Linked DNA regions of Ovis aries. The protein of the gene in region 1 purifies or fractionates together with the protein of each later gene. This does not show direct contact. Links are inferred from orthologs where the notes say so. Each region holds a gene or a part of one and is shown in the gene's direction. Other genes may lie near its edges. The genes, in order: BOD1L1 and SETD1A.

Region 1 (3,814 bases):
GCTACTCTGGAGGCTGAGGCCAGTAGATTTAGTCCTGTTTCTTATGGGGACTTAGGAGACACTAAGAGATGTTCCAAGGGTTGAAATAAATGACTTAAAACTTTTCTGTTGACTTTAATTTAGGGTGAGTTGAATGCTCTGGAAGTTTCTATGACTCAGCCATTGCTACAGTCTGTTATTCCTTCTGCCTCCTGCCTCTCCTTCCCTTGAAGGAGCAGAAATAGAAGGACTTTTAGCAAGGAGTAAGCCCACAGCCTCCTGGAGAAAGGAAGGGTTTTCTTGGGAGGCGTCTGTGTGGGCAGGTGAGAGGAACAAGTCTCAGGACAGAGGAGAGAAGGAAAGGGATAGGTTTGAGTCTACCAGGGAAAATTCTGTTCCCTTTTTATCTGTTTCACAGTTTCTAACTTTGTGTTCAACTTTGCTGTGTCAGCACAAGCAAGTAAAGTGAATCTGTTCACAAATCACCATCTTCATTAAGAAAGTATCTCAGTGGCCTTGAATGTTTTCTTTTAGGGACAAGCTTGATATAGATATCTATAGAAAAATACTTGGACATAAGACGTCCTCGCAAATGATAGCATATCATTCTTTGTGGCCAGCCAGCATAACAGCCAGAAACATTTTTATACACATCCCATCCCCCCGAAATGAGTGAATGACCCCTTGCCTTTTATCTGAGAATTTTCGGATATATTCCCCTTTATTGTTTTCTACTGACAGCAAACTAAAACAGGACGGAGGAGGGCGTAGCATGTCCGGGTAACAACTAGACGACATTCTGTTACCTTTTGATTCAAGATGTAGTTTGCAAGCAAATTCTTAAACTGATTGAATGGTTTGCATTTCTTTAGGCAGCAAAGAGTCCCCATCAAATGCTGTGGGAAGATTGGGACTGAAAACCAACTTGAAACCTGAGGTATGGCTGATCATTCAGTTATGCTGAACTGCCAATGGTGTACATACCTTTTCACCATGTACAGATACATGTACACAAGCAGAATGCAGCCCCGGCTCTCACTGTACCGAAGCTATTTCAGTTCTGTTACTGACACGTCGTGTGAGGGAAGAGCTCAGAACCTCAGTAGTCTCAGCTGATAGCACCGTCATCAGTTCCATCCACTCAAACCAGAAAGCCAAGTGTCAGCGTCAGTCACCCCTCGTTTCATCTATTGCTGGTTCTCATAGTTTCCATTCCCAAAATGTGACTTGAATCCACCTATTTCTGTTTCTATGGCTGCCACCTAGTCTGAGCCTCTACCCCAGTAGGTAGTGTCCCCATTCTGCTTCCTCTCCAGCCCTTCCTCCAGTCTTCACCCAGCCCTGAGAGTTAGCTTGAAAAACATAAACTAGGTCATGTCATTGCTCTGCTTGAAATTTCCAATGACTTCTCATTGCATTTAGAATAAAATCTAGTTTGGGAGGAGGTTTTCTGGTTCTTCTGTCACAGCCTGTGTGCTTTAAACAGTTTAGTCTCCATGCCCCCTTCCAGCCTGATCTCCTGGCGCCTCCGAGTCCACGGGACAAGATAGTGGTAAATATGGGGGCTGTGAACGCAGTGCGGAGGAGCCTCGACTCACAGCAGGGTCAGTGGGTGGAAGGGGATGGCTTGCAGGAGGACTTTGGAGTGGACTTCTGCAAACAGTTCGAAGTGTACCCGAGGACACAGAAAGGGAAGAGCCAGTCATGAGTCCTGGGCACTGCAGTGTTTCAGGGATGAGCTGCGCTGAGACCTCAAGCCTCTTGAAGAAATGAGACCAGATCAGGAAGGGCTTATGTGTTGTACTCAGTATTTTACTTTAGCGCAGTAGGAGAGCCACTGATGGATGAAATACGAGATTAGTTTTACCTTTTTGTTCCTAAAGGTTGACAGGATGCTGAGTGTTTTGTTTAATTCCCTTCAGGTGAATTAAACTTACCTTCTTATTTCAAAAACCTCATTTACCTTGTTATGGTGCCTTGGACTTTTTAGGTATTTGTGCCATCAGAGGAAGAGAAAAATCATGAGATGCCAGCACCACCAGGAAGTTCAGGTGGGAGAAAGCTGAGTGGAACAGGTAAACTCCTTTAGCAGTTGTTCACATTTTTTTTTTCCTTATGTGTGGGTTTATCTTTTATTATCACTTAAAATTTATAGCTAATATGTAATAAAACATTGACAGGCTATATGGATTTACCTATCATTTTTTTAACATAGATTAGAGAAAACTCTTTGCTATTTCATTTTTAACTTACACTTTTTCTTCATAAAGCATTAACATCAGTCAAAATCACGTAAGGTTGTGTTTAAATCTGATGTCTCCAAATAATTGTGGCCAAACGAGCTGCTTTGGAACAGACCCTTGCTCTCGCCCACAAGTATGTCTCTATGGCCCTCCTTGTCCCTCCAGGTGCCATCACAAGCTCATTTCCAGAAGGCTAGTCTGCGCCTGTGTGCCCACTTCTTTTAACCTCAGGCTCTTGACCCCTGGGGTCTGGCCGTTGCTGCGTCACTGAAGCTCCTCCCCGCTTGCAGAGCCTCTTCTCAGTCTCTCTCTGCACCAGTCTTCAGTGTCCACTAAAGGTGTGAAGGGAAAGGTCTCAGCCTCAGACAGGGTTAGGACAGCAGCTCTCAAACACGTCGGTCTCAGGACCACTTTACACGTGACCTCATCTGAATCTGACCACCTGCCAGAGACCCTCACTACAGCGCCATCACGTTGGGGATTGCATTTTTAATAGATGGGGTGGGTGGCAGTATATTCATTGTGAAGGGGACACAAACATCCAGTCTGTAGCATTCAAAACACTGAAAAGTTCAGGCAAAGCATGATCCAGGAGCAGAGACCTCTTTCAAAGGCCCGATTTCTTACCTTCTCTCTTAATCCCCAGCAGAAGTAATCGCTTTCCCATTCTTGGCCTCTAGGAAGATACGTTGTGCTGTCATTCATGGCTGAAGCCCTGAGACTTGTGATTCAGTTTAGGTGCCTGAGTTACATTTTCAGAATTCTTTTTAAACTCAGCTGTATGTTGTGGGCGTCCTTCATTGTCAGCGTATGCAGACCGGCTTCCTTTGTTTCAATAGTGGTCTGCAACACACGGCCCCCGTGCTGTTGGGTCTCTGAGTGCCCTCCAGTGTTTGTAGTGTTTACTGTTACAAATAACGCTGCAGTGAGCTTCCATATGTCTATAATCATGTACTTCTCCAATTTTTTTTGAAAAAGTGAACCGAGAGGTCAAAGAACACACACATTTAAATTTTCATTTCAAGCACTTGCTATTCCCCCTAATTTGGAGACAAATATTGAAGAACAAGTAGGTGTGTATTTGGTGGACCAGACAAAGAAAGGCAGTGTGTGAGGAGTGGTGTGTATAAATCCTCAACCAGGGCTATCTGGGGCTGTCAGGGTGGGGACCTTCCAAGGCAAACCATCTGAAAGGGCAGCCTTCAAAGTACGTGACCACAGGAACCTTATAAGCAGAAATACCAGGGGTTCCTGGAAGACCACCCCAAGACCTGGTAAGCCACTCGTCCTGACATGTTAAAACCCTAACGATGACTAATCTTCCCAAAACTTGGATAGATGGTATTAGTTAAAATTCCTGTGTATGTATTATAGTATACATAATTAATATCCCATTTGTTAATTGTCAAGAAGGTAACATTTTTGGATTCTGAAGTTCTTTGTTCCCAGAGTTGTATTTCAGACTGTGTTTAGGTACAGTTCAATAAGAGATCTACTTACGTAAAAGGAAGTTGTTTAAAAGAAAAATGTGTGTTCTGTCATTGTTGAGTAGAAACAGTAGGCCTTGTACTTCAGGCTTCCAAAGAATATAA
Region 2 (3,814 bases), on another chromosome or scaffold:
TTATTAAAAGTTATTAACAAGAGAATGGCTGTAATTCCCTGTTGATATAACTTTGTTTTTCTATTTTATATGTATGTAATTGACACGTAACATTGTATTACTATTTTATTTTAGACAAAGAAGTTGCAGGGTGGAGAAGGTTAATACCTATTTATTTTAAAAACCTGCACAAATAATACATGAACTCTCACGTTAAAAAAATCAGAGAATACAGAAAAAAGCAAAAGCCCCACCCCATTTGGCACAACCCTACCACCCCCACCTGCCCCAGTCTTTGTCCCAGTGTCCTCCAGTGGGAACTTCCACCAGTCCTGAAGGTGCCCTTCCTGGCTTTGCAATGGCATACACATTTGTAAATGTACATTTAGAAAAGGTTTCTAAAGCCAAAACAGTGTAATTTCATTGACGTGAAGGAAAAGCCCAAATAAAGTACCACCTCAGCTTCTTGAGGGGGGACTTCCTGACCCCTTTCTCATTGGGTAAGACTCCAGTACAATTTTATAAAGCCTTTTAATACAAGATTCAGTTTCTTACATTGTATATATTTTAACCTCACAGAACAAAGAATATTGTTTGTAGTCAAAATAATGGATACTTTAATTCTGGGGAGATCTGGGCAGTTGCATCCTGGTTACAAAATGCAGCTGGCAAAAAAAGTTGTCTGATGTCTGTCTGATTGTTGGATGAGGTTCTGTCACTACCAGTCGTGGTTAAAGAAAAGAGAAAGACTGGAGTCCAAGTGCTGAGTTTCCTCAGAGTGCCACCCCTGCCCTTAGAGCGCCACCCCTGCCCCTGAGAGCGCCACCCCTGCCCCTGAGAGCGCCACCCCTGCCCCTGAGAGCGCCACCCCTGCCCCTCAGAGCGCCACCCCTGCCCCTGAGAGCGCCACCCCTGCCCCTCAGGGCCTGCGCTGCCCTGTGTTTCACATGATTGTTTCCTTGGACTAGAAGTTCCAGAAGGGCTTCAAAGGTGTTTTCCTCATACTTGACATGGTTAAAAGTGAAGTCGCTAGTCATGTCTTACCAGGTTCCTCCGTCCATGGGATTTTCCAGACAAGAATACTGGAGTGGGTTGTCATTTCCTTCTCCAGGGGATCCTCCTGACCCAGGGATTGAACCCGGGTGTCCCACATTGCAGGCAGATACTTTACCATCTGAGCCACCAGGGAAGCCCTCCCATAGTTCATTTCAGTTCAGTAGCTCAGTCGTGTCCAACTCTTTGTGACCCCATGGACTGCAGCACGCCAGGCCTCCCTATCCATCACCAACTCCTGGAGTTTACTCAAACTCATGTCCATTGAGTTGGTAATGCCATCCAACTATCTCATCCTCTATTGTCCCCTTCTCCTCCCACCTTCAATCTTTCCCAGCATCAGGGTCTTTTCCAATGAGTTGGTTTTTCACATCATGTGGCCAAAGTATTGGAGTTTCAGCTTCAGCATCAGTCCTTCCAATGAATATTCAGGACTGATTTTCTTTAGGATGGACTGGTTGCATCTCCTTGCAGTCCAAGAGACTCTCAAGAGTCTTCTCCACCACCACAGTTCAAAAGCATCAATTCTTCAGCACTCAGCTTTCTTTATAGTCCAACTTTCACATCCATACATGACCAGTGGAAAAACCATAGCTTTGACAAGACGGACTTTTGTTGGCAAAGTAATGTCTCTGCTTTTCAATATGCTATCTAGGTTGGTCATGACTTTTCTTCCAAGGAGCAAGCGTCTTTTAATGCAGTCACCACTGCAGTCACCATCTGCAGTGATTTTGGAGCCCAAAAAAATAAAGTCTGTAACTGTTTCCATTGCTTCCCCACCTATTTGCCATGAAGTGATGGGACCAGATGCCATGATCTTAGTTTTCTGAATGTTTTAAGCCAACTTTTCCACACTCTTTTACTTTCATCAAGAGGCTCTTCAGTTCTTCACTTTCTGCTATGAAGGTGGTGTCATCTGCATATCTGAGGTGACTGATATTTCTCCCAGCTGTCTTGATTCCAGCTTGTGCTTCCTCTAGCTCAGGATTTCTCATGATGTACTCTGCATATAAGATAAATAAGCAGGGTGACAATATACAGCCTTGACGTACTCCTTTCCTGATTTGGAACCAGTCTGTTGTTTCATGTCCAGTTCTAACTGTTGTTTCGTGACCTGTATGCAGATTTCTCAGGAGGCAAGTCAGGTGGTCTGGTATTCCCATCTCTAAGAGTTTTCCACAGTTTGTTGTGATCTACACAGTCAAAGGCTTTCCCATAGTTAGTGCTCAGGAAGTGTTTGCAGAAGGTATGAATGAGCAGATGCAAAATGCCACCCCATCAGGGGAACCCCTCCTAACGAGGACACGGCACGGGGGAGAGGCCAGTGTGTCAGGTGGAAGGTGAGGAGCAAGGGTGGCTGGGGTGTGGACTCCCAGGGGAGGCTGGCTGGTCGCCTGCCTCCAGCGAATTTCCATCATCATATCCATCTGATCGCGGAGAAGCTGACCCTCGCCCTTCTTTGTGCTTCTCTCTCCAGGTTCCACCGAGGAGCCGCCTCCCAGTGCGCCCCAGCCTCCCCCAGAGCCACCAGCTGGACCCCCGGCCCCCACCCCCCGCCCCGACGAGCGCCCTTCCTCTCCCATCCCTCTCCTGCCCCCACCCAAGAAACGCCGGAAAACCGTCTCCTTCTCTGCTGTGGAGGAGGCACCGGCCCCAGAGCCTCCCCCCGCCGCGCTGCCACAGGTCAAGTCTGCCGCCCCTGCCTACCGCAAAGCCCCCCGGGCTGTGGAGCGGACCATTCGCAACTTGCCCCTCGACCACGCCTCTCTGGTCAAGAGTTGGCCTGAGGAGGTGTCCCGAGGAGGCCGGAACCGGGCCGGAGGCCGGGGCCGCTCCGCTGAGGAAGAGGAGGCCGAACCCGCCACGGAAGTGGACCTGGCTGTGCTGGCTGACCTGGCCCTGACCCCAGCACGGCGTGGCCTGCCCGCCCTGCCCGCCGCCGACGACTCGGAGGCCGCGGAGACGCTCGACGAGGCGGAGCGCCCGGGCCCCCTGCTCAGCCACATCCTCCTGGAGCACAACTATGCCCTGGCCGTCAGGCCGCCGCCGCCGCCCCCGCAGCCACCCTCCACGCCTGCCCCTCGTCCCTTGGAACCCGTTCCGGCCCCCGCGGCCCTCTTCAGCTCCCCGGCGGACGAGGTCCTCGAGGCCCCAGAGGTGGTGGTGGCCGAGGTGGAGGAGCCAAAGCAGCTGCCACAGCAGCAGGAGGATGGGGAGGAGGAGGAAGAGGAAGAGGAGTCGGAGTCATCGGAGAGCAGCAGCAGTAGCAGCAGCGATGGCGAGGGCGCCACCCGGCGGCGCAGCCTCCGCTCGCACACGCGGCGCCGGCGGCCGCCCCCGCCCCCCCCCCCGCCGCCACCCCCCACCTTCGATCCCCGCAGCGAGTTTGAGCAGATGACCATCCTCTATGACATTTGGAACTCGGGCCTGGACTTGGAGGACATGAGCTACCTGCGGCTGACGTATGAGCGGCTTCTGCAGCAGACTAGTGGGGCCGACTGGCTGAACGACACCCACTGGGTCCAGCACACCAATATCCTGAGCCCCAGAGTCTGGCCTCAGGACAGGGAGACAGGCCTGGGGGTGGAGGTGGGGGCCCTCCCTGGGGTCGCTGGCCAGGCACTGCCCTCCTGCGATCATTCCTGGGTCTGTGTTTACCTCAGTCCCTGTCCTGTTCTCTGCCACGTTCAGCTTGGGTATTTCTTCTCTGGCTGCCAAGTCACCATTTCTCTCTGCTTCATGCCTGTTTTCTGCCTTTTGATGTTTTGGTGGCAGAAAAGGT

What was found.
Region 2: the proteins of BOD1L1 (region 1) and SETD1A purify together in Homo sapiens (affinity purification with mass spectrometry; 3 studies listed by BioGRID and IntAct, with this or other methods). This does not show direct contact. The link is inferred for Ovis aries from reciprocal best matches to the Homo sapiens genes BOD1L1 and SETD1A.

What each region holds. Positions count from the first base shown.
Region 1 is NC_056059.1:109,456,851-109,460,664, reverse strand, and holds part of BOD1L1 (biorientation of chromosomes in cell division protein 1-like 1), read left to right. Parts: intron 1-851; coding exon 852-916; intron 917-1,969; coding exon 1,970-2,054; exon of another isoform or gene 2,055-3,814. UniProt on the Homo sapiens protein: Component of the fork protection machinery required to protect stalled/damaged replication forks from uncontrolled DNA2-dependent resection.
Region 2 is NC_056077.1:27,626,855-27,630,668, forward strand, and holds part of SETD1A (histone-lysine N-methyltransferase SETD1A), read left to right. Parts: intron 1-2,509; coding exon 2,510-3,565; intron 3,566-3,814. UniProt on the Homo sapiens protein: Histone methyltransferase that catalyzes methyl group transfer from S-adenosyl-L-methionine to the epsilon-amino group of 'Lys-4' of histone H3 (H3K4) via a non-processive mechanism.